7 linked regions of the Sus scrofa genome follow. The protein of the gene in region 3 purifies or fractionates together with the protein of the main gene of each other region. This does not show direct contact. Links are inferred from orthologs where the notes say so. Each region holds a gene or a part of one and is shown on either strand. Other genes may lie near its edges. The genes, in order: NCBP2, FUS, ZC3H18, NCBP1, FNBP4, KIAA1429 and SRPK2.

Region 1 (3,500 bases), on a different chromosome or scaffold from region 3:
TAAAAAGATAAAACAGACAAAAACAAAACACCAAACAAACAATTCAAGGCACAGAAAATTCAAAAGACATGTTAGATCAGGTCTGGGAAATTTCTCAAACAAAATGACCCAAAAAGGAAATATTAATTAAAAAAAACAAAAACATCAGGAGTTCCCCTTGTGGCTCAGTGGTAACAAACCTGGGTGTCCAAGAGGATGGAGGTTTGATCCCAGGCCTCACTCAGTGAATTAAAGGATCTGGTGTTGCCATGTGAACTATGGTATAGGCTGCAGATACAGCTTGATTTGGCATTGCTGTGGCTGTGGCATAGGCCAGCAGCTGTATCTCCAATTCTACCCCTAGCCTGAGAACTTCCAAAAGCCACAAGTGCAGCCCTAGAAAGCAAAAAGCAAAAAAAAGACTTAATCAACTACAAACAAAGCATGGATTTCAGAACAGAATATAAATGTTACCAGCTTTCCTAATATAAGAATACAGATACACTGGAGGTAAGAGTAGATGAAGGAAGGAGAGGTAGAGATAAGTGTCAGATGCTAATTAGTGAATATTCTCACTTATGTAACCCGCTACACTGCTACACTCGGGCCCACTGCTGGCCGCCATCTATAGACACACAGGAAGGATACTCCACAAAGCAAAACCCACACGCTGTTTTCTTCATTTTATCCAGGCCCATGATGATTTTCTTTATGTCACCACTTTTGCTGAAGAGTTCATAGATTTGTTCTTCAGTTGTATAAAAGGAAAGATTTCCAACATACAATGTACAGCTTTTCTTCAGTAACTTCTCCTGTTCTTCATTGTCACCCTAGAAATTCAAATGGAGAAAAAGCTAAGTAACACAATCTAAGGAGAGCCGTGCTTAAGTAGAATTCCTAAGTATGGGAAAACTGTCATTAATTCTGATTTGGAAATCAGTTTTTCTTAATCATCCCAACTCTCAATCATCCCTTGCCAAGGGTGTTAGATTCTAAGAAGAACTTTTGCAAGGCCCAGACTGCTTTTAGTAGAGGGCCACAGCTTAAGGTTATATACAGCCCTCCTTCTCCAACACAAGTGGTATGATTTTTGCCTGCATTCTCCATATTCTCAGCACTGGATCCTTCTCTAATGGCCCAAGTTTAATTTCAGGACCTTGAACCAATATACTAGAAATGACCTTTTTATTTTCTTTAGTGAAAAATAAATGGTTAGAGATAGGGTATTCCCTATATACTCCTATAGAGAATGTTCAGAGCAACAACTGACTGGATGATTTACATGCTCTTATATATTTTTTGCATTTAGGAGAAAATGTAGTGATCACCAAAAACAACAGATCTTACTATCTTGACAGGCTTCCTAATTTGGAAGACAGGATGAAGCCAAGGACAGGTGTGTAACAATCCTGTCCTGTGTCTGACAATCCTTGGGGACAAAATGGCTTAGCATGGGCTAGACACAGTATCTTACCTACCGTCACAAAAGTCAGTAAGTATGGCTGTCCTTAGACCTTCTCTTCTAGCCTCCACAATGGGGAGGACAAAGGCTGATTAAATAGGAGGTCTAGGAGTTCCCGTCGTGGCGCAGTGGTTAACGAATCCGACTAGGAACCATGAGGTTGCGGGTTCGGTCCCTGCCCTTGCTCAGTGGGTTAACGATTTGGCGTTGCCGTGAGCTATGGTGTAGGTTGCAGACGCGGCTCGGATCCTGCGTTGCTGTGGCTCTGGCGTAGGCTGGTGGCTACAGCTCCGATTGGACCCCTAGCCTGGGAACCTCCATATGCCGCGGAAGCGGCCCAAAGAAATAGCAAAAAGACAAAAAAAAAAAAAAAAATAGAAGGTCTACCAGCTGACCTGCTCTCAGGCCCCTCTGATCCAGGTTAGGGCTCAATCATCAACTATACATCAACTATATTCTAGCTTGGAAAGTAGCTAAGTAGATCCACACTCTTTGCCCCACAGCACTTTCCCAAGAGGCTCCCCTTATTATTCCATATATAATGATAATCCAGTTTCCTTTACTCTGAAAATAAGATTTTGCAGAGTTCCCGTTGTGGCGTGGTGGAAACAATCCAACTAGTAACCATGAGGTTGTGGGTTCGATCCCTAGCCTCACTCAGCAGGTTAAGGATCCAGCTTTGCTGTGAGTAGAGGTATAGGTCGCAGACAAGGCTTGTGTCCTGAGTTGCTGTGGCCTGTGGTGTAGGCCAGCACCTGTAGCTCCAACTCGACGCCTAGCCTGGGAACCTCCATATGCGGCAGGTATGGCCCTAAAAAGAAAAAAAAAAAAAAAAAAAAAGATTTTGCATCCATCTCTGAACGCTTTTAGCACAAGACTCAGAGTAATCTCATTCGGTGATCCCATTCAGTGGTAGACCAAAAACAGGAACCATCTAAACTCATGTCAAAAGGAAAATGATGAAAGATTGTGGTACATCAATAAGTATAAAACTATACAACCCCTAGAAAAATGTATTTCTACTGCAATGATACAGAGCATCTCCAAGATAGGGAGCAAAGTGGGGGGGGGAGGCACAGAACAATGTGAAGGACATGCTCTGAGTTATATTTCTTAGAAGTATAAATGTACCCAGCTACCATACATAAGAGACAGGTAATACGTTTGCCTCTAGGGAGAATCAAGAGACTACAGGTCAGATTGCCATGTATGAAGTCTCATTTACTTCTCAGAGCTGAATGAGGTAGGTCCTAATTTACTATTCTCATTCTGCATGAGGAAAGAGCTAAGTAACTTGTCCAAGTCACACAGCTCATCAGTAGTTGTAGCTGGAATCCAAACCCAGTCTTCAATACCCTATTTCCTTAAAAAGTTGACAGGAATCATTCTATGTTAAAAATAGGTTTTTTCAGGACTTTGAAATGAGAATTAAATAATTTATATTACTACTTTATATTACCGACTTGTTAAAATTATGATCAAGAGGCATATTCCTTTCTTTTCATATAAGTAGTATCCCAACATAGAGCCTACAATTAAGACAACTGTAGTGTACTTATTTAAATTAAGATAGCTGTAGTGTAAGTACTTATTTAAGGTATGATATTGGCCTCAAATTTCCTGTTTCCCTAGCCTACTAACACATTTTAAACATTCTCCACACCTACCCTCTTCTTTATGTGCCCACTCCTTTCCCAGTCACAGGAGAATTTTCTGAATTCTCACAGCCCCTCTCTTTCCATTCATCATTTCTGCTCTAGACTACCTGCCTCCACTGTAAATCCCTACACTTCCACCGTCCTTCCATTTACAATCCTATAAACCCTAGAGGATTATGAACTCTTAGGGTGTGGAAACTCTTCCCTCTCCCTCCAGAGTTTAGCAAAAGGCTTCAGCAACAGTACAATATAAACTTTTCAAATAACCAACAGTTAATAAGTGGCGCCTTCACCCCACCCCCACCTTTTTTGATACTGAAGACCTCACCTTAAAAACCCGCAGCCTCCCCCTTCCCACAGAATCTGCTATGATGTGGGCCAACCGAAAATTTCCCTCAGCA
Region 2 (4,269 bases), on a different chromosome or scaffold from region 3:
AGCCAGGGTATGAAGACTGCTGCCCGTAAGACGATTGAGAACCCTGGCCACTACCATAGCCACCAGTTGAGCCATATCCCTGGGGAGCTGACTGTGCGCCATAGCCTGCTACGAGAAAAAGAAAAAAAGTCATGAATTGAGGAATGAGAATAGGTTGATGAAACACTGTATACATCCCTAATGCTACCTACACCTGAAGCCAGCCTCTTGAACCACCGCCAATCACAGCCCAAGAGATCCCTCTCCTTTAACAGCATTTAACCAGCCTGTGATGTACATCTCAGATTATTTACCCTTCAGCACCTAAGGGCAAATTCCACCTCTTTGTGTATCAATGTGATATACAGTATGCTGATTTCCAACGTCTTCAAGCAAATCATTTTCTCCTTTTATTTTTTTTTATGCTTTTTAGGGTCACACCCACAGCATAGGGAGAGTCCCAGGCTAAGGGTCGAATTGGAGCTGCAGCAGCTGGCCTACACCAAAGCCACAACAGGATCACACCCAAGTTGCGTCTGTGACCGACACAACAGCTCACAGCAACGCCAGATCCTTAACCCACTGAGCAAGGCCAGGGATCAAACCGGAAACCTCATGGCTCCTAGTCGACTTGTTTCCGCTGCACCATGATGAGAACTCCCCATTTTCTCCTTTTAAATATCAAAAACTTAAAACTCTTTTCCCTTTAGGGAATATTCTTCCCCAATTTCACTTTCATTCTTAGGGGAAACAGGGAGAAGTGCAGCATAAATCAAAAAATGCAAAGTCAAAGAAAATAAAAGGAAACAGAATTAAGTACTTGGAAAGAACTCAAACTCTAAGTAGCTTGAAGGATCACAGACTGGTTAAGGGCAAAGAAACTGGGGGACAGTTTCAACAGTTCAGCACTGCTTAGGTTTAAGAAAAGCAACATTCAGAAAAAGCAGGAAGAGGAAGGGTGACCCACTTAAAAAGACTCACTGTTCTGGGTCTGTCCATAAGAACTGCCATAGCTGCTCTGGCCATAGCCTGAAGTGTCCGCTGACTGGCCGTAACCGCTGTAACTCTGCTGTCCGTAGGGCTGGTTGCTCTGCTGGGAATAGCCCTGCCCAGGCTGGGTGGGGTAGGCCCCGTAGCTGGAGAAGAAAAGGCAACAACGGTGCTCTCAGGAAAAGACACCTTAGCCACCCTTGCCCCCTACAAACTCTGGAAACCCAGAAATGACACTCACCTTTGGGTTGCTTGTTGGGTATAGTCTGCAAAACAGAAAAATACAATCATATTAACATTACCTTCAGCCACCCCTAAGAGAACAAACTAGAGGTAAAGGCCTCAACTCAAGCCCCAGAGCCCCTAGATGTGAAAATTGACAAGGCAGAAATCCCCTCCTGAAACCCTAGTTGAGAGGGGCAAGACGGCAGACCAAAGTCAAGTTTTCTCACAATAAAGACACACCAAAAAAGCGAATTTCTACCGAGACCAAGAGGCCTTAAGTACTGGAAAAAGCAAGAGTCCTGGTGGACAACTACCATTTTTCTGCAACTTCAACTGATATCCGGAACTGCACAAACTGACTCACATGTTTTCACACCCACTCTATGAGGAAGGTATCCCCAAGAGTCCAACTGAAGCCACACAGCTGCTTGAGCAGAACAGGCTTTATTGCAAGCCAGAAGCAAAAACGTTCCGATTGTAGCCTGCACTTTCTCAACCCAAAGAAAGTCTCAAGATCTGGAGAGAGGCCACCCTCCATCCAATCTTGGAGACAGGAACAGGGGGCTTTTAGTGCAGAGCCAGCTCACCAAGAAGGGAGAATTCTTTGACCCCAAACGACAGAGATCGCCATCAAAGAGCGGTCGCCTCGAGAGGCAAGCCGACTGGTACTCAGGTCCTCAGCCCTACGGCTCCCAACGAGTTCCTATCTCCCCTGCCTGCCTCGGGGCTGCGGGGAGACTTGGCGAATCCAAGGTAACGAAAACGCCACAAGGAAGACAGCACAAGCCTGATCAACTCATCTCGATACAGGAAACAGCTTTCCCCGCAGGAAACGGCAAAAGGATCGGGAGAGGGTGTGGCCTAAGGCGGCCGTTCCTTTCAGTTCCTACCTCCCAAGGAGGAAAATTTAGGCGGGAAAAGCCTCACCCGGTCCCCAAGTCCGTTGGACCACCCCCTAGCCCCCCACCCCTAGCCGTTAAACGGGCGCGCGGTCCCGATCCAAAGCCTCCGCCCCCAGCCGCGTGGCACGCGAGGCGGGAACGAGGAGGTCCCGCCCCTTCCCGAGGGACCCCGGGAGCGAGGCCCACACCGGACGAGCGCCGCGGAGCTGCCGGTGGAGGGTCTCGCGACAAAAAGCAGGGCCGACACGAGGCGGGAGGGGGGTTCGCGCCGCCAGAAAAGGGGGGAGGGGCCAGTAGAGCGCGTGCGCGCACCGAGTGCCCGGATGCAGCACTGCGACAAAGCGGGCCCGAGCGCGGGGCTGGAGACGCGGAGGAGAGAAGGCTACGGGGACCAAGCATTTCCATCCGCGTCTCACGTCCCCAGTCACCAAGAAGAGTTCCTCCCAACCCTCACCTAAAGGAAAGGGGCTGCAAAGGGAAGACCTCCCGCCCTGCGCGAGGCGCCAGCGGAGCGAAACAAAATGGCGACATCGGCCTCCCCCTTCCACCCCTCTCCGCTGCTTCCCGCCAGTGGTGCGGAGAAGATCCTACATGCGATCGCTGCCCGGGCCCCACCGAGAAACAAAAGCCCAACTGGGAGCTTACGAGCTCCAGGGCTGGCGCGCCACCGCCGCCTCGCGCACTTACATACCGTTTGAGGCCATGTCCGCGCACGCGCGCACAGGCCGGCAAGCAACAGAATTCCAACACCGCTGAGCACCGACGCCTCGAGGACTGAGCAGCCCCGCCTCCTGCGTCGAGGTTTATGTACGCCTCCCCCGCCTACGTATCCTGGGGGAATGCACCAAATGCGGAAAGGAAAAGGGGAAGCATGGCCGGACTCCTGCCGCCCTTCAGGGAATATATAGGGTCCTAGCCGGCAGAACATAATTGTTATTCACTAAGAACCATGCAAATAATATATATAGCCTTATTTTTTCTGAGAAATAATTTATATTTTCTCTGAAGGACGAGCCAAAGATTCACTTCCACCCCTATAAGATCATAATGGTACAGTCCGATTACCCTCTGGGGGCGGGGCGAGGGGCCTAGGGCGTCTGCGGGCGGAACTGTAGTCAAAGCCGGGAGTCGTGGGGCGGGAACCGAAATTCCTCAGGCTGGCCCCTTTCGCTGGGCCTCACTTTCACTCCGGATAGCGAGCTTCTCCGCTCCACTGCCCTTCCACTGCATCAGATGCATCCTCCCTCCCGCGCCAGCCTCCCTCTCTTGGTTCTAACGTCCCTCCCCCGACCACACACACTACCTTTCTTCGTCTTGGTTTTCACTCATCGTCTTTCAGGGTTGTCCTTACCAGGGCTTGTGGATTGTGACGTTTGACGTGAAAGCAAGCATGGAGTTTAGCTCGGACCCCTGGGTCCTGTTTTGATTAAGCATTTATGGCCCACCTACAACCTCAAAGCTTGGCTTCTGACTCGCTGTTGGACAGAAAAGCCCAAACAATCCGGAGATTGAGATTATATCAGGGTTCTCCCAGCCTTTTGCTGATAAAGGGCTGGGAGTATTTTCCTGAAACCCTACGGAGGAATCAATGTGCAGATCCAACAATAATTGATATTTGTATAGGGCTGAAGTGGCTTCAGAATGCACAATTAGAGAGTTCTCTCAGGGCACAGTGGGTTAAAGATCTGGCGTTGTCACTACTGTGGCTCAGGTGGCTGCTGTGGCAAGGGTTCACTCCCTGGCCCCAGAACTTCTGCATGCAGTGGGCGCGGCCAAAAAAAAAAAAGCCCAATTAATTGCTTTTCCATCACAATCTTACGAAGAAAGATAGCAAGGCTATCTTTTATACACCAAAAAAATGAGACTCAGGCCAAATGCAATCTATGATTATGGAACAGCCAAATGTAAGGGGTCTAATTCGAATCCAGGTCTGTGTGGCTGCAAAATACTCCTTTTGTTAGTTATACAGACATTTTGAAGTGTTCTGAAGCTTGTTCACTCCTTATGAGAAAAAGGACAAAACATGAAATTCAAATTAACTTGCAACTTGCACTCTCATCAGCCTTGCCTGGAGAAGGAAAGCTGAAAGTATTGAGAAAGGTCCCTGGTGGTCTAGTGGCTAGAATCAGGTGCTTTCACTGCTACAGCCAGAGTTTAGTCCCTGGCCTGGGAA
Region 3 (4,156 bases):
ATTTCAATTAGATTAGTCATGAAGTCTGGTTAGGCTTAGCATAAGTGACTCCATTTTGGGGCTGTTGTTTTCATTTTTTTAATTTAAAAAAATTTTTTTTATTTTTTATTTTTTTGTCTTTTGTCTTTTTACGGCTACTCCCAAGGCATATGGAAATTCCCAGGCTAGGGGTCTAATCAGAGCTGTTTCTCTTTAAACAACATTGGGAATAGTTAAAAAGTTTAAGCTTTGACATTTAAACTCAGTATCTCAAAAATGATTGTTTTGTGTTGGATCAGTTATATTTGATAAAGCAATAGCTATTTAGTTACACAGAAATAGTTTCAAATGTTTCAGCTTTGACTTTTTTTTTTTTTTTAGGGCCACACCCTCAGGATGGAGGTTCCCAGGCTAGGGATCTAATCCGAGCTACAGCTGCCGCCTACGACACAGCCACAGCAAGCCAGATCCGAGCCGCGTCTGTGACCTGCACCACAGCTCACGGCAACACCGGATCGTAAACCCACTGAGCGAAGCCGGGGATCAAACCCCCAACCTCATGGTTCCTAGTCAGATTCATTTCCGCTGTGCCACCACGGGAACTCCTAGGCTTTGACATTTTAACTCGCTATCTCGAAAATGATCATTTTGTTTTGAACTGATTCTATCTAACGGAAGGGGGGATTTAATCCCCCCAAAACAGTTTAAAAAGTTTAATCTTCGTTATTTAAACTCATTTCCTGGAGTTCCCGTCGTGGTTCAGCAGAAAGGAATCTGACTAGCATTCCTGAGGAAGCAGGTTCGATCCCTGGCCTCGCTCAGTGGGTTAAGGATCTGGCACTGCAGTGAACTGTGCTACAGGTCGCAGACACGGCTCTGCCCCCTCGTTCCTGTGGCTGTGGTGTAGCCCGGCAGCTACAGTTCCGATTTGACCCCTAGACTGGGAACTTCCATAAGCCGCGGGTGCGCCCTGAAAAGATTAAAAATAAAATAAACTCATTTCCCTGAAAGGACTAACTTTGGATTGGGTGCGCAGCCCCCCTGCGCGGAAGCTCCCCACCCGGAAGGGGGCAGGTAAGTTCTTCGCCCCACCTCCCCGGGACCCATCTCCGCGCGCAGCTCGCACAGCGGGGCGGGAACCCGCCGGCGCTCACGCGTCACGTGACCCGGAGGCCCGGGAAGCTCTCCCAGCCGCACGACGGCCGGCGCGCGCGTCCTGAGACCCGCCCGGGAGGCGGGGCCTCGGCCGCGCCTGCGTCCTGTCGGGTTCAGGCGGGCGCGCGCCGCGGGGGCGGGGCTGCGAGGAGGCAGCTGCGCGGAGGCCGGAAGGAAGCGGGCGGAGGGCGGGGCAAGAGAGGTAAGCCCGCCCGGCCCGCAGGACAACCGTCGCGGCCTGATGACGTCGCACAATGGCCGGCCCCCGCGGGTAGTGGAGCCCGTTTGTTCCGCCCGCGTCGCGCCTCAAGCCGGAGCCTGTGAGGAGCGGAAGGGTCGAGGGACGACTTCCCCACGCCGCCCCGACCTCCGCGGAGCCGTGGCCCCCCCTCCCTGCTCTCGTAAGGTAAGTGGTGGCGCCACCACGGAGGCGGGGCGGGTAGAAGGAGGAGGCCGAGGCGGCCGGGCGGGGAGCGTGGCGGCGGCGCGGAGCGGAGGCCGGGGAGCCCCGCCGCCTCCGCCTCCGGGGAGCGCTCCAGGCTGCCCGCGGCCGAAGCGTGGTTCTCGAGCCCCAGGAAGAGGACGTTGACTCAGGCACGATCCTGCGCTCCTTTCGCTGCGAGCCGGCCGGGGACCCTGGAACCCTTTAGCCCGAGCGCACGGCGGCTGCCTCCGCGCCCGCCGTGGAGTTGATCTCCCGAAGCTGTCATTTCTCTTCCGGGACATCCGCGTGGCAGTGTTTGCCGCCTACAAAGACCGGGGGAGGGGGCGGCGGAAGGAGGCACGCAGGCTCACCCTCCGGACTGGGGATGGGCTCTTCAGGAGCTTTGAACTCTCTCGAGCCTCTTGGAACTTGCCCCCTCGGCTTCCCGGTGGCACAGGTTGGACCTATGCGCTGCGCCCCAAGATGCGCGCCACTCTTTGGAGTAAACTTCCTTTCCTTTGGTAAGGAGCCCAAAGGATGCCGGGTCATTGCTGGGGGGACGTCAGACTTTAAGACTTCCGGCTTTGCTCCTGCGAAAACTTCAAGTTTTCCTGAATTCTTACGACAGCTGAGTTGGCCAGGTAGAATGGTCGATTATCTTAAGTGAGCTGTTCAGCTCCATCTGTTAGAGTAGATCAGCCTTCGGATCTCTTTGGGGAGAATGGAAGGAGAGGGCTTTTGGGGGCACAGCAGTGGCTCTCTTGGTTTCTCATCTTCACGTTGCCTTTGGAGTGGTCCTTTCCCAGAGCGGAGATTGGGATTCTCAGGGTGAGTCTGGACCTGGGCTGATTCCCATTTCCCCAACAGGAAGTCTTTTCCTAGTGATTTTACAGTCTGAACACATGTGTGGAGCCCAGCCAGCTCTGAAACCATTCAGATGTGTCCCAGAGGTTAAAACCCCTCAGCCTCTCCAATTTGAGGTGGGAGATGGTGAAACATTTTATGAAAACTTTGTGGAATCGTTCCCGAGAGCAGAAGAGTTTTTGGGTTTGTTTTTTTTTTCCTTTTTCACTGATCATCTCGAGGTGAGTGAGTGCATCCTCCCTGAGGGGTCATTTGGGGTCAGGCTTGGTCAGGTTGGGGACAGTGTCTGTCACCAACCCACACATCCTTCCTTTGGATGTTTTAAGTCTATGAAGTTATGATTCTGCATTTTCTTTTTGTCTTTTTTTTTTTTTTGCTATTTCTTGGGCCGCTCCCGCGGCATATGGAGGTTCCCAGGCTAGGGGTCCAATCGGAGCTGTAGCCACTGGTCTACGCCAGAGCCACAGCAACTCGGGATCCGAGCCGCGTCTGCAACCTACACCACAGCTCACGGCAACGCTGGATCGTTAACCCGCTTAGCAAGGGCAGGGATCGAACCCGCAACCTCATGGTTCCTAGTCGGATTCGTTAACCACTGCGCCACGACGGGAACTCCTGATTCTGCATTTTCTTTTTTTTTTTTTTTTTTTTTTTTTCTTTTTTTGGCTTTTTAGGGCTGCACCCGCGGCATATGGAGATTCCCAGGCTAGGGGTCCAATCAGAGCTACAGCTGCCCTGCTGGCCTACGCCACCGCCACAGCAATGCCAGATCCGAGACGCGTCTGTGACCTATACCACAGCTCATGGCAACGCCAGATCCTTAACTCAGTGAGCGAGGCCAGGCATCAAACCCGCAACCTCATGGTTCTCAGTCAGATTTGTTTCCGCTGTACCAGGACGGGAACTCCTGAATCTGCATTTTAACTAGGCGTACCAGACTTGAGCATTCAGGTAGGGCTGCTCTATTAAAAGTTGTTAGCCTGGATGGTTATGTTTATATTCATTGGCGCTCCTTTGCCAAACCTCTTTCGAAGTCCTGTTTTTGTAGTAAATATATAAGCCTTGTTTGGGATATGTATCAGTCTCATTCCGTGGTCACACCCCACGTGTGACCAGAAATGCTCTTACCTTGCTTGGGAACTCACCCCACTGACCAGACTAGGCTCTGCACTGGTTTCTTTGAGAGGAGGAAGACATGCTGCCCTGGAGAGTGCCAGGCTCTGAACTGGTTTCTCAAAGTGATGCCACTTGAGAGGAGGAAGATGTGCTGCCATGGAGAGTGCCAGGGAGGTGCTGCAGGTTCGGAAGGTCACTCGGGAAGGAAAGTTCCCACGTGCCGTTCACTTGGAGTCCAGGTGTAGCCTTCCAGAGCGACTGCTGGGAAGCAGGACAGCACCCGCGGGGTCTGAGTTCCAGCGCGCTCTTCAAAAAAGGAGACGCTTGGTTCCCATGTCTTCCTGGTGCCCAGGAAGTAGTTGATCCAGTGCGAGACTTGTCACTGACTCCACAGGCAGCTGTCAGTGACCGTCACTAAATCTAACATGCTCTGGGGACTCTCTGGCCCTTGTTCTTCTGTTCTCCAGGCGAGTTCCTGTCTGTGGATCAACGCACTAAAGCCTTCTAAACTCTGCCAGTAATGCTGGGTTATGGGGCGATTGTGGGAGCAGAAGAAACTGAAAATTGTGAGCCTAGGAGTCGGTGAGGACGCGACCGCAGGTCCTTCCATTTCCGCGT
Region 4 (4,276 bases), on a different chromosome or scaffold from region 3:
TCTGTAAACAACAATTCCATTCTTCCTGTTACTCAGGAAAAAACTTTGGGATTCTTGTCTCCTCACTCTTTCAGAGTATTGAAAATCCTGTCAATTCTGCTTTTGAAATATAATCACATCAGATGACACTGCACTACCTTCCCTACCAACCCCACTTAAGCAACCATTATTTCTTGCATGAATTATTGCAATTGCCTAACTGCCCTTCTCCCGTAAGAGCAAGAGGGGTGACTTTAAAAATAAGTCAGATCTCTCCCTCCAAAGGCTTTTAAAGGCATCAGATAAAGTCCAAGGTTCTTATAAAGCCTTTCCCACCACACCCTAATCGCATCTTTTTCTATTTTTGCCCACCACCTCTGACTGCAGTTTGCTGGATTCCTCAACCGGTCATCAGCACTGAGAAAGCAGGGGTTTTCCTTCGTTCACCTCAGCCTCCTCAATGTCTAGAACACTGCCTGGCACATAATAAATACAATATTTGTGGTATGGAGTAAAAGGTTGGGTGGCCAGGGAAGGATTCCTAAGGGGGCTGATGCTTGAGCTGGGACTGAAATGCCAAGGAGCCATCCATGCATACTTAAGGGTAGAAATCTTCAGGCAAAGGAATATAAATGCCTAAAGGGTGAACAAGCTTGCCTTACTGGAGGTACAGGAAGAAAGTAAGAATTGTTGGAGCATAGTGATAAAAGAGTAGGACCCTGTAGGTCAGGTTACTTTACATCGCAAAGTCATGAGAGAGTAGTAAAAAAGGAGTAACTGATTCCAGATCGGTTTTGAAAGTAGAGCTGATAAGGTTTACTGATAGTTCATTAGGTAGTAAGTAAGGAGCCAAGAATGACTCCTACCTACATTTTTGGATTAAGCAATCGGATGGATGCGTAAAAGTGAAGGAGCAATAGGTTAGGCTAGGTTAGGCTAGGAGAATGAAAGGTTCATTTCACGCGTGTGAAATTTCAAATGGCCATCGACAAAGCAGATAAGCAGCCGTGGTGTTCACCACAGAGGTCAGGGCGGAGAATATTCACATACACATAATGGAAGTATCCAATAACCACTGGAAACATTACTAAAGCGATCAACAACTCAGAGGGGCGAGAGGTCAGACGACGGTCAGAAGCTAACCGCAGAGCAGCAAGCTCAAGCTAGGCAGGGTCTTTCGGTCCCCAGAGCTGCTCGAGCGGCGCCGCTTCCCGCTTGGGCCCCACCCCGCGCGCCGGGCCTGGCCCAATCTCTCCTCCCAGCTTTCCCGAGTCGGCAGAGGCCCGGAAGTGGGAGAAAGATGAGCACGTACCCGCCAGTCCAGATCCTTTCTTAGATCTTTCTTCACCAAACCGTCTCCGCCTAGCAATTGTCACCTCTCACCACCCTTGCACCTCCAGCCCCCGCCCCTGTTTACGTAGGAAGGAACGCCGGGGACCTCACCTCGCCCCGGAAGTCTAGGCCGTTAGCGAAAGGGCCGCCGGGAAAACCACTGAGAGGCCCGGGGGGGAGTCTGAAGTGGAGGGAGTCTGAACTAGAGCGTCCCTCCTAGACCACCCCCGCCAAGGCGTGGCTCGCGGCCTGCGGGCTCCGGCCGCCTGGGGAGGCGGTGCTCTCCGCGTGGCCCCGGAAGGACTTCCCGCGGAGGCGGGCGAAGGAAGCAGCGGAGAGGCGGAGGCAGCCCGAGGGGGCGGTTGCGTGCGGACGAGGCGGCAGTGGCTTGGTGAGGTTCCAGACGCCGGCTCTCCGGGATCCGAGCCCGCCGAGCCCACCCGGCCACTTCTCCCCCTTGCGCTTCCGGGAGCCGTCGCGAGCGAGTGCGCCTGCGCGCGGGCCACTTCGTGAGCCTCGCCGCTGTCCTCGCGCCGGCCGGCTGCCCGACGGTTCCTGCCGCTCTTCCCGCCCGGCGTCTAGGCTCCGCCGCATACACAACGTGCGGCATGTCACGGCGGCGGCACAGCGACGAGAACGATGGTGAGTGCTCTGGGCCTGGCCGCCGAAGCCGCGCCCAGGTGGGGCCGAGGTTTGGCTTCTTCGGTCTTCAGGTCCTGAGCGAAGGGACGGGAAGCCCTTCCCCCAGGAACTTGCGGGGAGATGGGTGGCACAGCGGGAGTGTGGCTGGGCGACTGCTGGAAAGCTCGTGCTATCCCCCACCGCACCTCTTGAGTCGTCGGCGGAGGGGAGGCCTGGTGCACCCCTGGTCTCTAAGCACTCTTTAAGATAAGGTCCTTGGTACCGCCGAGCAGGGAAGTATATTTGTGTCTGTGCCGCTTCCCCTTAGAGACGGTGACCAGGACTCACTTGTCCCAGTGTCTCGTTTTGACCCTCAAACATCATGTATTAATGGCTCTCGGAAGGTGAGAGATCTGATGAATTGCAATCCCAGCTCTCCTGTGCGGGTCATCCGGGGTTTTGCCTTCTTTCAAACCACTGGGGAAGAAAAATCAGCTTCTTATCCGCACGCGAGAAGTCTTTAATAAATAGATATACGTAGGTCGTTATGTTAGATCTTGAATTGGTTGTAAGCTTATTTCTCTCGTTTAAGAAAAGAATGCCAGAAGACTCACTAGAGAGCTCGTAGAGGTTAGATCGGGGTTCCCATTTGGATATTTGCACTCATGGGGATCCTGGAATTGCCGTCATAGAAACCAGGAATAATTTAGCTAGTTAAAAATAGGAAACGATGCTTACATTAAAAAAACAACAGTCAAGAATACACATCTAGAAAAGCAAAAAGAAACTAAAAATAATTTAGTTATTAATACTTGAAAATAGTGTTGTAAAGTGGTTAAGAGGCCAGACTTTGGAGACAGAGGGTTTAAGTTCAAAGTTAGACCTTGCCATTTATTTTGTGATCTTGCCCAGATTATATCACCTCTTTAAACCTTAGTCTGTAGTATTGGATTAATGATACATGCCTGTTCTTGGTTTTGTGAGGATTAACATATGTAACTAATTGCTCATGATGATATGTATTTTATCATCTGTTAATGCTTAAGAATTGATAAGCATTGGCAGATGTCAACGATGTAGGAAAAAAATACGGATCAAAAAGTTGGATTTAATTAATTTTCTCCACTTATATTTTTCTCTCCTTGAATGTTGGGGCACTCGAGGGTAGGAACCAAATCCCACCTACTTAATTTTAACAATGAAATATCAGTTTTCTGCTAGGACATGGCTTGAGAGGATAGTCTAGTCCAGTCTTGTCACCTGACACCTAAGGGTCTAGATTTAGTATAATTAATGGAGATGGCTGTGCCCAGACACAGGTGAAAGCAAATCCAAGGTTCTTTTTGCTACACATGTATAGTAGGCTGCATGCTTTGATTTTTTTTTTTTTAATCACAGGAGGCTTCTTGTATAATGTACATACAGAGCACAGAAAATAGTCTTCATGTGCTTTGCATTTGATTAATTAAAAACCTAAATCTCCTAGAAGTCATCACTTGGTATTTGGAGAACTTGAGTCTAAATTTAAAGTTGTTCCCATTTTCTTTGCTCTTCTTGTGCTTTTTTTTCTCTTCTCCCTTCTAGGGCATTCCTAAAAGGAGAGGGAGTGTTTCCAAAGGACAGCCTGGAGAATTCGATGTGAATATGTAGTTTGGTTATTGGGATGCTAGCATAACTTTCTTAGGAGTTAGCTTCTGGCAGCTAAAGCACTGTCCATTTGGGTCTTGCTGCAGGAACCTCAGAATAAATAAGACAAAAGAAAAGAAAATAAGGAGTTAATCAAAATCCAACTAGGAACCATGAGGTTGCGGGTTCCATCCCTGGCCTCTCTCAGTGGGTTAAGGATCCGACGTTGCCAGGAGCTGTGGTGTAGGTTGCAGACGTGGCTTGGATCTGGCGTGGCTGTGGCATAGGCCAGCAACTGTAGCTCCAATTAGACCCCTAGCCTGGGAAACTCAACATGCTGTGGGCGAGGCCCTAAAAAGAAAAAAAAAAAAAAAGGAGTTAATCAAAGTTTACTATGAATAATTTAGTAGTAGAGGGGCAGTTAATAGTTCCTCTTAGATACTATCCTGGAACTTCAGTAAATTGCCGCACTTTGGGTAACGATCAGCTAGGATTTCTGCTAAAATCAGAAATATTGGGAGTTTAAAAAAAAAAAAGAGTTCCCATTATGGTTAAGCGGAAGGAAACGAATCTGACTAGCATCCATAAGAGTGCAGGTTCAGTCCCTGGCCTCTCTCAGTGGGTTAAGGATCTGGCATTGCCATGAGCTATGGTGTAGGTCACCGATATCACTTGGATCTGGCGTGGCGGTGGCTGTGGTGTAAGCCAGTGGCTATAG
Region 5 (3,500 bases), on a different chromosome or scaffold from region 3:
AGCCCAAGCCACAGCATTGACAACCAGGCACCCCAATAATAATTTCTAAAAGAAAATGTACAACAACAATGGTTGGTGAGCATTTGGAAATATCAGAACCCTTGTACACGTCTGGTGGTAATATAAAATAGTTCAGCCACTGGGGAAAAACTTTGACAGTTTCTAAAAAAGTTACACAGAATTACCATATGAGCCAATAATTCCACTCTTAAAATATATACATACCCCAAAGAAATGAAAACAAGCACTCAATATGCATGTTCACATAGACTGTTCATAATAGCCAAAAGAAATAAAACAATACAAATGCCCATCAGCGGATGAATGGATAAACAAATTGTATATACACACATGGAAAATTATTCAGCCATAAAAAAGAAGGAGGTCCTGGTACACATTACAATATGGATGAACCTGGAGATTTAAGTGCTAAGTGAAAGAACGCAGATACAAAAATTCACATATACACGATTCCAGAGCAGGTATACTGGTGAAAACAGAAAGCTGACCAGTAGTTCCCAGGGACTAGGGGAAGGAGTTAATGAGGAGTGACTGATCTTTTGGAGTTAGGAAAATGTATGTAGCCAGAAAGAGGTGGTGGTTGCACCACACTATGATATATTAAATGCTACTGAATTGTCTACTTTAAATATTACTTTGATAACGCAAACCTTGTCTTTTTTTTTTTGGTCTTTTTAAGGTCTCACTTGTGTCATATGGAGGTTCCCAGGCTAGGGATAGAATTGGAACTGCAGCCGGAGGCCTACACCACTGCCACACCAGATCTGAGCCGCGTCTGAGCTCAGAGCAACGCCGGATTCTTAACCTAATAACACAAATTTTAAATAAAAATTTAAAGAGAGATTTACCATACCTTATCTTTCTTTCCTTTTTTGGTCTTCTCAGGTGGTGGCACTTTGGGGGCTGGTGGTGGTGGTGGAGGAGGAGGAGGAGGAGGAGGAGGTGGTGGTTCTATAATGGCAGTGGTAGGCACAGCACTCCGGGCCTGAACTGGCTGCAATGTGGGGGCAGTTACTGCCAATGGGACAGAACATTCAGCATAGCTCATAATTGCAGGAGCTGATGCCAGTCCTAGATAATTTGATTGTAGATTCATTCCCCTGGCCTGATGACCCATTCCTGTTGCTGGATGGCTAACTGCTATTGTTTGGTGTCCAATTCCTGTGGTCTGGTGTCCAATCCCTGTTGCCTGGTGACCTAACAGAAAATACGTGAAAAGGAACTATAAAAAGGACATTGTGAAAAAGCCAAAAACAAGGAAAAGAAAGAAAAGGAAATTGAGGGTTAGAACACCCACAAAATGACTCTAATACACCTTTTCCTCAAAAAACATAGCCACATATTCTGGTGGCAAACTATTAATTTCTGAACATTTTAACATTAAAATACTTAAACATCAAGATCACTGATGTTAGGTAAATGTACAGAAAACAACATAGAAGGATATATGCCAAGCTCTTAAGAGTGGTTTTTAGTAACTGAAAGAAACACACACACAGTCTTTGTAGTGAAACACATTGTGTTTCTTCAATGTCTATCTTATTCTGGAAACAAAGATAATGCACTGATGAAATTACCTTGTAAACACAATGCTTACCTGTAGCCATACTTGACTGGCTGTAGAGGACTGGAGAACTACCTATGGTAGCTGATCTCTGAACTACTGCAGTACTCATTTCTGTAGCTTTTCTCTTTATTGCTTTAGTGGAAGGAGAACTAGAGATGGTAGAATCAGCTGAACTCTGAAAAGGAGAGATTCTAGTTAGTGGCTCAAGATCTGGTTAAATACCTTCTAAAATAAAACATGGTGTCAGTCATCCCCAGGTCCCCAAGACTCTTCAGAATGCCACATGGCCTTTCTCACCTGGCTAGTGACAACTGGGGTTTGTGCTGAAGGTTTCAATGGCGTATCCTCCTCTGTTCCTGGGGCAGGAGGCTCCTCACTTCCCTCATCCTCCATCTCTACTTCCTGAATCTCACCATCTTCTACTGGAGGAGGAGGGGGAGGAGGGGGAGGAGGGGATTCTGGAGGTGGAGGTGGAGGTGGTGGCATTTCCAAAGGTAATGGAGGTTGAAGCACAGGCACATTTGACTGAAGGAGGGTCCAGAATGGAGTAAGTGGCATGAGTGACGAAGAAGAAACTTGACCAGAAAAGGATTCTTTACAAAGGGAACCTACGAAAACAAACAGGAGTCAGGGGAAAAAAAAACAAGCCTAAAACTTAAATGTTCAATTGGTGAGACACAATCTGTCCCACACACATGTATTCTACACTGACGTCACTGAAATATTAAACTCAGTTCAAAAATGACTTCCACGAAAGATAAATTTATAGAATTTACAGTTAGCACTGGCCTTAGCTGTGTTGTATCAGTTTGTTTTGGGGGGGGGTCCAGGTTTTATGGATGAGTAAATGAAGCACATCACATTAACTCAGTAAAAAATTCAGTCATTTGAACCTGAAGTTTTTTATTTCAAAGATATACAACCAGAAGGCAACACTTGGGATCTTTTCTGTCAAAAGTGAAGGAGTGAACGATGTGCATTTTCAATACTGATTCCATGAGTTTATTTTTCAGTGAGCTAGATAAGTGATTAGGGATGATCCAGAGAAGTACCCCTTCAAAATACTCCAGCAAATTCTACCCATTTAAATTAATTTGGGTTACTAAGTTAAAAAAATCCATTTGCAAGGTGATATTGTCAACTCTATCATTTCTTCACACCTTTGTGTGAATTATTCACTTGCTAAATCACAGTAACAAATTAAGGAGGGTAATTTTTTATTTCTGTGATGAGAAAAGGGAAACTCATTGAAGAGAATGAATCTTCAAGGTAAACGATAATGATAAATGGTAACACACCAAAGAGGTATTTGAAGATACAGAGGACTTGAAATCGCTGTTGAAGTTAAAAAATTAATAGTTAATTACTGTCCTTTCTTTGCTGGGAAAAGCTCTAAAAATTAGAGAAAATAGGAAGATATACTTACTTGTAGCCTTCCCCATCCCTCTTTATCGTCAATAGGGAAGTTTCACAATATCTGGGACTATTAGATATATATCCCAGGAATGTTGAAGGGGATTTTCTCCCTAAAATCATAGAATTTAGGAGTAGAAGAAACATGAGAAATCATCTAATTTAACCCTCTCATTTTTAAGGTAATGAAACCCAGGAGGGAAATGATTTGCCCAAGATCACACAGCTCTTAATGGCCAGTCTGACTCCTAGACTAGTGCTATTTTAACAAGATGTCCTCATGAAACATCAAGGAGTCCAAGAGCTTTAGAAATTTCAAATAAATTTAACTTCTCATGGAGAAGAGATCCAGATACAGTCACCAATCAAATTTCTTGGTCAAAGCAGGAAATTAATTAAGGTCTCTATTATAAAAGGCTCTAGGACAAGGATAAGGCTTTTCATCTTACTGTGCTCAAAATATATCATGCTGGAACTCAACAATGAAAAACCAAAGCAA
Region 6 (3,500 bases), on a different chromosome or scaffold from region 3:
CTTGAAAGCCATTTATCTCTGCTATAAATTCTTTTGCATTGCTCAAAGCTACATCAAGCTAGTTTCTAGCACTTAAAACCAAGACGTCCTAGCTAATTTAACCCACCTTCGCCTTCTTCATCTTCTTCACCTTCCTCCTCTTCATCTTCCTCTTCCTCTTCAGGGATACTATCTACTGTATGGCGATCATCCTCATCCTCATCCTCTTCTTCCTCTACATCCCCATCATCTTCATCATCTTCTACTTCCTCTTGCTGTTCCTCTTCTACTTCTCCTTCATCAGAATATTGACCTTCCTGGGGAACAGAATTCCGATCAGGAGAAATGGGCTCAAAGTAATCTTCTCTATGAGGAGCATCTTCTTCCTTGTCACCAGACACTAAAAAATTGAGATTTAAGGCACAGATTATTTTAATGGCTTAAATAACATGAGGCAGAAGGACTGGTATCACAACTACTTAATGACATCATGGATGACTTAGCTCATAAACACTGTTTTTTAAAAAGTAGTAGAGGAGCTCCTGTCATGGCTCAGTGGTTAATGAATCTGACTAGCAGCCATGAGGTCTCAGGTTCAATCCCTGGCCTTGCTCAGTGGGTTAAGGATCCAGCGTTGCCGTGAGCTGTCCTCCAACTGGCCTGGGAATCTCCATATGCTGTGGGTACGGCCCTAAAAGAAAGCAATAAATAAATAAACAGATAGCAGTAGAATTATTTGCTTCGAAAAAATATTAAGAATATACACTGCACAACCTTATACAGTGAGAATTAATAAAGTATGCTATTTTATGTTCTAATTCAATAATCTTCTTTTTAGCTATTAAGTAACTATACAGATTTTTATCTCTTCCAAGTCTTACATTTTATGTACATACTAGTGCTGTTCTGTACATACCGCTATAGCACATTAACATTTTATTTTCAAAGCAATGTTGCTTCAACATTGCCAATTTTTTTTTTTAAACAAGTTCACGTGCCAACAAAAAAAACTGCAAGAAAACACTGCACGGGATGGGGGCAGGACAAATTCATTAAGATTTGATTACCAGCATCTAAATTTTTTTTCTTTAATCAAAAAGTACTATTAACATTAATCTTGGGAGTTCCCGTTGTGGCTCAGTGGTTAACGAATCCGGCTAGGAATCATGAGGTTGCGGGTTCGATCCCTGGCCTCGCTCAGTGGGTTAAGGATCCATTGCTGTGAGCTGTGGTGTAAGTCCAAGACGCGGCTCGGATCCCGCGTTGCTGTGGCTGTGATATAGGCCGGCAGCTGTAGCCCTGGTTCGACCCCTAGCCTGGGAACCTCCATATGCTGCAGGTGTGGCCCTAAAAAGGCAAGAGACAAAAAAAAAAAAAAAAAAAAAAAAAAAGGTACCATTAATATTTTTTCTACCTGGCAATGGCAAGGGATCATCTTCATCATCATCAGGTGGAGGGGGTCCTGGTGGAGTTCTCGGTCCCCTTGGCTGTGGTCTTGGAGGGCTTCCATTAAATTGATCTTCCTTCTCCCCATCAGCTAGTTTTATTAGAGACAGAAAAAGAACTTTCAAATTATTAAAGTATAGTGAAAACAAATGCAGGACAAAAAAATGCTATTCATCATTTGAGTTTTCATCTTCAGAATTTATAAACTTCCTTTCTGATGTCTAACAGAAATTTTGTGAATTAATTTGTATGGGGAAAGTGAAAATTTCTGAGTTCCCATATGCCAAAATATAATGTATATAACTTTTGTGCATTATCCCAGAGAAATGGAGACTTATTTTCCTGAAAGAAAGATGTAACAAATGCTCATAATAGCTTTATTTGCAAAAGTCAAAAACTGGACACTATGACTGAACAGTTAAGTAAACTATAATACATCTATACTATGTATTACTACTCAACAACAATAAAGGATGATCTACTAATACAAAAAGTAGATAAACTTCAAAGAAATTATGCTGAATGAAAAATGCCAATCTCAATGTCTTGATTCCAACTTCATGATTCTATTTTTTGGTAATAGTCATGAAATAATTACAGAGACAGAGACTAGATCATTGATTGCCAAAGATTAGAACAGATAAGATGTGTGTGGCTACAAAGAGGTAACACCAGGGAATCTTTTGATGATACAATCAAGAATCTGAACTGCAGAGTTCCCGTCACAGCTCAGTGATAACAAAACCGACTAGTATCCATGAGGATGCAGGTTCAATTTCTGGCCTTGCTTAGTGAGTTAAAAAAAAAACTTAACTTCAGTAATGGTTACACGAAACTAGACATGACATAAAATTACAAAGAGCTCTACACACACAAACACATAAGTACGTGAATAAACGGTGAAATCTGAACAAGCTCTACAGACTGTAACAATGCTAATTTTGTTTTGATTTGTACTAGAGTTGTAAAAGATGTTAACACTGGGGGAACCTGGGGAAGAGCGCACAGGACTTCCCTATACATTTCTTTGCAGTATCCTGTAAATCTACAACTATTTCAAAATAAAAAGTTAAAAACATATACACATATACACAAACATATGTACAATATATGAGCTTAAGTGTTCATTTTACATCTCTCTCTGTGTTTGTTTTTAGGGTCTCACCCAAGGCAATCGGAGGTTCCCAGGCTAGGGGTTGAATTGGAGCTACAGCTACTGGCCTACACCACAGCTGCAGCAATTCGGGATCCAAGTTGCACCTGTGACCTACACCACAACTCACAGTAACTCCAGATCCTTAACCCACTGAGCAAGGCCAGGGATTAAACCTGCATCCTCATGGATATTAATCGGGCTGTTACCACTGAGTCACAATGGGAACTGCCATTTTATTTCATTTTCAAACAAGTCAGTAAATTCAACAAAACTTAGAGTAACTATACATAAGTAACATACATGTCAGACAAGGTGATAAGACTAGACACAATAGAAAAGAATAATGAGGAGTTCCCGTCGTGGCACAGTGGTTAACAAATCCGACTAGGAACCATGAGGTTGCGGGTTCGGTCCCTGCCCTTGCTCAGTGGGTCAAGGTTCCGGCGTTGCCGTGAGCTGTGGTGTAGGTCGCAGACGCGGCTCGGATCCTGCGTTGCTGTGGCTCTGGCGTAGGCTGGCAGCTACAGCTCCGATTAGACCCCTAGCCTGGGAACCTCCATATGCCGCGGGAGTGGCCCAAGAAATGGCAAAAAGACAAAAAAAAAAAAAAAAAAGTGAAAAGAATAATGAGGAGTTCCCGCTGTGGTTAACGAATTCAACTAGGAACCATGAGGTTTCGGGTTTGATCCCTGGCCTTGCTCAGTGGGTTAAGGATCTGACGTTGCCATGAGCTGTGGTGTAGGTTGCAGACTCGGCTTGGATCCCATGTTGCTGTGGCCCTAGCATAGGCCAGCAGCTGCACCTCCTATTAGACCCCTACCCTTGGAACCCCCATATGCCTCGGGAGCGGCCGTAGAAAACACGAAAAGACAAAAAAAAAAAAAAAAAAAATGAAATCAGAAATGAAAGTAGAGATATT
Region 7 (4,039 bases), on a different chromosome or scaffold from region 3:
GGCGTTGCCGTGAGCTGTGTGGTGTAGGTTGCAGACGCGGCTCGGATCCCGCGTTGCTGTGGCTCTGGCGTAGGCCGGTGGCTACAGCTCCGATTGGACCCCTAGCCTGGGAACCTCCACGTGCCGCAGGAGCGGCCCAAGAAATAGCAAAAAAGACAAAAAAAAAAAAAAAAGGCATGCATTTTTCTTTTTTTGGGGGGGTGTCTTTTTAGGGCTGCACCCACGGCATATGGAAGTTCCCAGGCTAGGGGTCAAATTGGAGCTGTAGTTGCTGGGCTACGCCACAGCAACGCAGAATACGAGCGTGTCTGTGACCTACACCACAGCTCACCGCAACGCAGAATCCCCAACCCACTGACTGAACCTGCATTCTCATGGATACTAGCCGGATTCATTTCCGCTGCGCCACAAGGGTAACTCCCAGCATGTCTTTTTCAACTTCTATTAACTTTTCTGAAAAAAAAAAAAGGGGCTATGCAGGAATAAACTCTTTGAGTTGAAAGTTGTGCTCCAAACCCAACACTCAGGATCCTAAACATTACAGTCCTTACTTATGGGCTTTCCGTCGTTCACCAAAAGAAATGCCTAATGTAAGGTTCTGATTGAGAGCATTAATTTTTAAAGCATCTAAAACTATCAAATATCCATTGCTATTTAACGTTTCGAGAATGTAATACCCAATTTTTACCCACCAGTTCCTTAAGTCCTTAATAAGTACTTCTTCCTCGCTCTAGTAGGTTTTTCTTTCTTTTTTTTTTTTTTAAGGCATTATGATGTTGCTACGACATTTTGTGAAATGCTGAACATACTTTCAAGTTATATTCCGGTTTGAATGAACAAAAATCCTATCACGATACATTACATTAATAGTAAAGACTTAGGCAGTTTTCATAGACGCCACCAATGGGTGTGAAATTCGCTAAGCAGAAATCAAGGCTAATAGGAAGGGGAAAAGCCTAGGAAGGCTGCAGGTTCGTCCCCTAAAGAAAACAAACAAGAAATATTTCGTGATTTTATTTAAAGATGATGATGGGCTATCCCTATAGTAGCAAATTTAACACAGGGTATTTCTTGCTCAAATGGAAGAGGGAAGCCACAAATCTGGGAGAAGGAGTAAAGATGTTGAACGCTGATAGATTCTTCAAAACCAGGAAAGAAAGGGAGAGACACGGCGGCGCTCCGCGGTCCCGAAGCAGCTCTCCAGGAAAGACTTCCCGAGCGCCGGGCGCTCCCACTCCGGTCCGCGGCCAGGCTGGGGGTGGCTGGCGGCTGGCACGTTTTAAATATCACCACCCCGTTCGTCGCCTCCCAGCACAATGAGGGGCTGGGCAGCCGCGCCGAGGACCGCCCGCGCACACGCCCACCGGTCCCGCGCAGCCGGAGACCCGGGCGCAGCCGCCGCGCAGTGAAGGCACGCTCGGCCCGGGCAGAAAGTTTCGGAAAAAAACCCAAGCGCCGAAACGCACAGGTCTCGGAGCTGAACTCGAGCCAGGAACACGCCCGAGGCAAACCACTTGACAACCAGCTCGGGTTTTCAGCTGAAAGGCCGAAAGGTGGGGGCCGGGGAGGAAGAGGAGGAGACACCCAACACACACACACTCTTTCTCACACTCCGTTCCTCTTCCTCTAGGGCCCAGGTGGCCAGGTGGGAGCAACGCCGCAGCCTCACGCCGGCACTCGGCGCGGCGGGGCCGGGCCCGGCCTGCAGACGCCACCGCCCCTCCCAGGAAGGCCCGCGACCCCCGGGACAGCTCGGCGAGCCGGGGACGTTGCGCACGCCCGGCGCCTCCTCGTCCGTCAGCCCCCTGTGCCTTGGGACCCAAGGGGCCGAGGGTCCGGGATGCTCAGCGGGCTGGCCGCGGGCCAGCGCGCCCCTCCCCCGACCGTCAGCCCCTCCCCCCGGGCAGCCCGCGGGGCGCGCTGGAGGCGAGCGCCGGCGTCCCGGGGGATCAGCCCGCCCGCTCGCCCGCCCCGGGGACCCGAGCAACTTTCCCCTGCGCGGCCGCGGGCTACCCCCGACCGGGCAGGGGCGGGGGTCCGGAGACTAGCGCAGCGTGGACTCACTTTTTCGGATGTTTCTCTCTTTTCGGCCTCCGCTTTCGGGCCTGAATGGCCAGCACTGAGGAAAGAGAAGACACACATTAACGGTCGGGCAGACCGGCCTCAGGGGCCGCGTGGCAGGGAAGAGAGGACGCCACGGGCCACTCACCTTTCCGGGAGCTCATCGCGACGCAGCGGAAGCGGGGAGGGGGCTTCGCGGCGGCAGCGGCGTCGGCGGCGGCGACGCGGGAGCCGAGCCGGGATGCAGCCACCACTCGTTCTGCCGGCCAGGAGGAGGCGGGGACCGCGCCTGCGCCGCCGCCGCAGCTGCCGCTCCAGCTGGGGGCCCAGCAAGACCCGCCCCCAGCCGGCCCCGCCCCCGCCCCGCCCCCACCCACCCGGTGGGGTCCAGACCCTCCGCGCTGTCCCTCCCGCGCCACCCGTACCCACCTGCACCCACCCGCCTGACTCACCTGGGCGAAAATGACCCCCCCCCACGTCCACCGCTGCTCCCGCCCCCGCCGCCGTCTGGGCCTTCGGCTCCTGCGCCCCCGCGTTTGGCCCAGGCCTCCTTCCTCTCCCCGGCATAGGGCCACGAGCCATAGCCCCTCTACCTACCCCGGCCCGACGCGCTGCCCGCCTCTCCATGCGCCTTTCCTGGGCCAGCGCCTCCATGGGTCTCACACCACCTCTCCTCGCGCGGCCTCTTTTCCCCCTTTGCTCCTCTACATCCTTGCATCCCCATGAGCGCCGCTCCCTCCTCTCCGGCGAGTGTGTAAAGGGCACAGGACCAAGAGCTGGGAAACCTGGGTCCTTCAATAGCTGTGTGACCTTGGAAAAGTCATCTTATTTCTCACCTTTACCCCAGAGGATTGCTCGAGTGTGATGAAGGAAACGATGCAAATAGCATGGAAGGTTGAATTAAGTGTTTGCACACGAATCAAAGCCCAGCTCTGTAAATACCATAGGTAACAGTTTAATTCAACAACCCACCAAAGGAGTTCTTTCTCCATCTTACGAAGAGGAAACAGTCCTGAAGAGGTTTACCCAGCAATGATTCAAATTTAGGCCTAGCTGACTCCAAACTCACGCATCATGTTTCCTAATCAAGATGACTGTGAGAAAAATAACTGCAGAGGTCCCTTGTTCATTTAAATAATTATATTTCTGAAAGAGATTCATCCTGACCATTTAATCTCAACTGCGCTTTTTTTCTTTTTTTTTCTTTTTAAGGCCATCCAGGGGCATATGGAAGTTCCCAGGCTAGGGGTTGCATCCAAGCCTCATACACAGCCTACACTGCAGCTTACCCCTACAATGGATCCTTAAACCATTGACCAAAGCCAGAGATCAAACCCACATCCTCAGAGACACTATCTCGGGGTTCTTTACCTGCTGAGCCACAACAGGAACTCCATCATCTGTAGTTTTAACTGATCAGAATAGCTGCTCTGAAATATTTATTTTATGGAGTTCCCATCATGGCACAGTGGTTAACGAACCTGACTAGGAACCATGAGGTTGAGGGTTCCATCCCCAGCCTCGCTCAGTGGGTTAAGGATCTGGCGTTGCTGTGAGCTGTGGTCTAGGTTGCAAACGCGGCTCGGATCTGGCATTGCTGTGGCTTAGGCCAACAGCAAAAGCTCTGATTAGACCCCTAGCCTGGGAACCTCCAAATGCCACAGGTGCAGCCCTAGAAAAGACAAAAATAAATAAATAAAATATTTATTTTAAAGATGCTAGTTCCCATCCTGGCTCAGTGGTTAACGAATCCAGCTAGGAACCATGAGGTTGCGGGTTTGATCCTGGCCTTGCTCAGTAGTTAAGGATCCGGCATTGCTGTGAGCTGTGAGCTATGGTGTAGACCGGCGGCTACAGCTCCAATTAGACCCCTAGCCTGGGAACCTCCATATGCCACAGATGTGGGCCTAGAAAAGACCAAAAAAAAAAAAAAAAAAAAAAAAAAGTATGATTATTTTAAAGATGCTAAACCCGCTGG

What was found.
Region 1: the proteins of ZC3H18 (region 3) and NCBP2 purify together in Homo sapiens (co-immunoprecipitation; 3 studies listed by BioGRID and IntAct, with this or other methods). This does not show direct contact. The link is inferred for Sus scrofa from reciprocal best matches to the Homo sapiens genes ZC3H18 and NCBP2.
Region 2: the proteins of ZC3H18 (region 3) and FUS purify together in Homo sapiens (affinity purification with mass spectrometry; 3 studies listed by BioGRID and IntAct, with this or other methods). This does not show direct contact. The link is inferred for Sus scrofa from reciprocal best matches to the Homo sapiens genes ZC3H18 and FUS.
Region 4: the proteins of ZC3H18 (region 3) and NCBP1 purify together in Homo sapiens (co-immunoprecipitation; 3 studies listed by BioGRID and IntAct, with this or other methods). This does not show direct contact. The link is inferred for Sus scrofa from reciprocal best matches to the Homo sapiens genes ZC3H18 and NCBP1.
Region 5: the proteins of ZC3H18 (region 3) and FNBP4 purify together in Homo sapiens (affinity purification with mass spectrometry; 3 studies listed by BioGRID and IntAct, counting the BioPlex papers as one, with this or other methods). This does not show direct contact. The link is inferred for Sus scrofa from reciprocal best matches to the Homo sapiens genes ZC3H18 and FNBP4.
Region 6: the proteins of ZC3H18 (region 3) and KIAA1429 purify together in Homo sapiens (affinity purification with mass spectrometry; 3 studies listed by BioGRID and IntAct, counting the BioPlex papers as one, with this or other methods). This does not show direct contact. The link is inferred for Sus scrofa from reciprocal best matches to the Homo sapiens genes ZC3H18 and VIRMA.
Region 7: the proteins of ZC3H18 (region 3) and SRPK2 purify together in Homo sapiens (affinity purification with mass spectrometry; 3 studies listed by BioGRID and IntAct, with this or other methods). This does not show direct contact. The link is inferred for Sus scrofa from reciprocal best matches to the Homo sapiens genes ZC3H18 and SRPK2.

The regions. Positions count from the first base shown.
Region 1 is NC_010455.5:133,183,709-133,187,208, reverse strand, and holds part of NCBP2 (nuclear cap-binding protein subunit 2), read right to left. Parts: intron 810-3,500; coding exon 628-809; intron 1-627. UniProt on the Homo sapiens protein: Component of the cap-binding complex (CBC), which binds co-transcriptionally to the 5' cap of pre-mRNAs and is involved in various processes such as pre-mRNA splicing, translation regulation, nonsense-mediated mRNA decay, RNA-mediated gene silencing (RNAi) by microRNAs (miRNAs) and mRNA export.
Region 2 is NC_010445.4:17,323,766-17,328,034, forward strand, and holds the start of FUS (RNA-binding protein FUS), read right to left. Parts: upstream 2,801-4,269; coding exon 2,788-2,800; intron 1,236-2,787; coding exon 1,211-1,235; intron 1,116-1,210; coding exon 961-1,115; intron 109-960; coding exon 1-108. UniProt on the Homo sapiens protein: DNA/RNA-binding protein that plays a role in various cellular processes such as transcription regulation, RNA splicing, RNA transport, DNA repair and damage response. Binds to ssRNA containing the consensus sequence 5'-AGGUAA-3'.
Region 3 is NC_010448.4:1,078,729-1,082,884, reverse strand, and holds the start of ZC3H18 (zinc finger CCCH domain-containing protein 18), read left to right. Parts: upstream 1-1,356; 5' UTR 1,357-1,540; intron 1,541-4,156.
Region 4 is NC_010443.5:239,491,097-239,495,372, forward strand, and holds the start of NCBP1 (nuclear cap-binding protein subunit 1), read left to right. Parts: upstream 1-1,476; 5' UTR 1,477-1,919; coding exon 1,920-1,953; intron 1,954-4,276. UniProt on the Homo sapiens protein: Component of the cap-binding complex (CBC), which binds cotranscriptionally to the 5'-cap of pre-mRNAs and is involved in various processes such as pre-mRNA splicing, translation regulation, nonsense-mediated mRNA decay, RNA-mediated gene silencing (RNAi) by microRNAs (miRNAs) and mRNA export.
Region 5 is NC_010444.4:14,919,533-14,923,032, reverse strand, and holds part of FNBP4 (formin-binding protein 4), read right to left. Parts: intron 2,197-3,500; coding exon 1,886-2,196; intron 1,764-1,885; coding exon 1,619-1,763; intron 1,219-1,618; coding exon 875-1,218; intron 1-874.
Region 6 is NC_010446.5:42,186,424-42,189,923, reverse strand, and holds part of KIAA1429 (protein virilizer homolog), read right to left. Parts: intron 1,517-3,500; coding exon 1,394-1,516; intron 380-1,393; coding exon 107-379; intron 1-106. UniProt on the Homo sapiens protein: Associated component of the WMM complex, a complex that mediates N6-methyladenosine (m6A) methylation of RNAs, a modification that plays a role in the efficiency of mRNA splicing and RNA processing.
Region 7 is NC_010451.4:105,261,890-105,265,928, forward strand, and holds the start of SRPK2 (SRSF protein kinase 2), read right to left. Parts: upstream 2,801-4,039; 5' UTR 2,786-2,800; coding exon 2,659-2,785; intron 2,380-2,658; exon of another isoform or gene 2,226-2,379; coding exon of another isoform or gene 2,210-2,225; intron 2,120-2,209; coding exon 2,065-2,119; intron 1-2,064. UniProt on the Homo sapiens protein: Serine/arginine-rich protein-specific kinase which specifically phosphorylates its substrates at serine residues located in regions rich in arginine/serine dipeptides, known as RS domains and is involved in the phosphorylation of SR splicing factors and the regulation of splicing.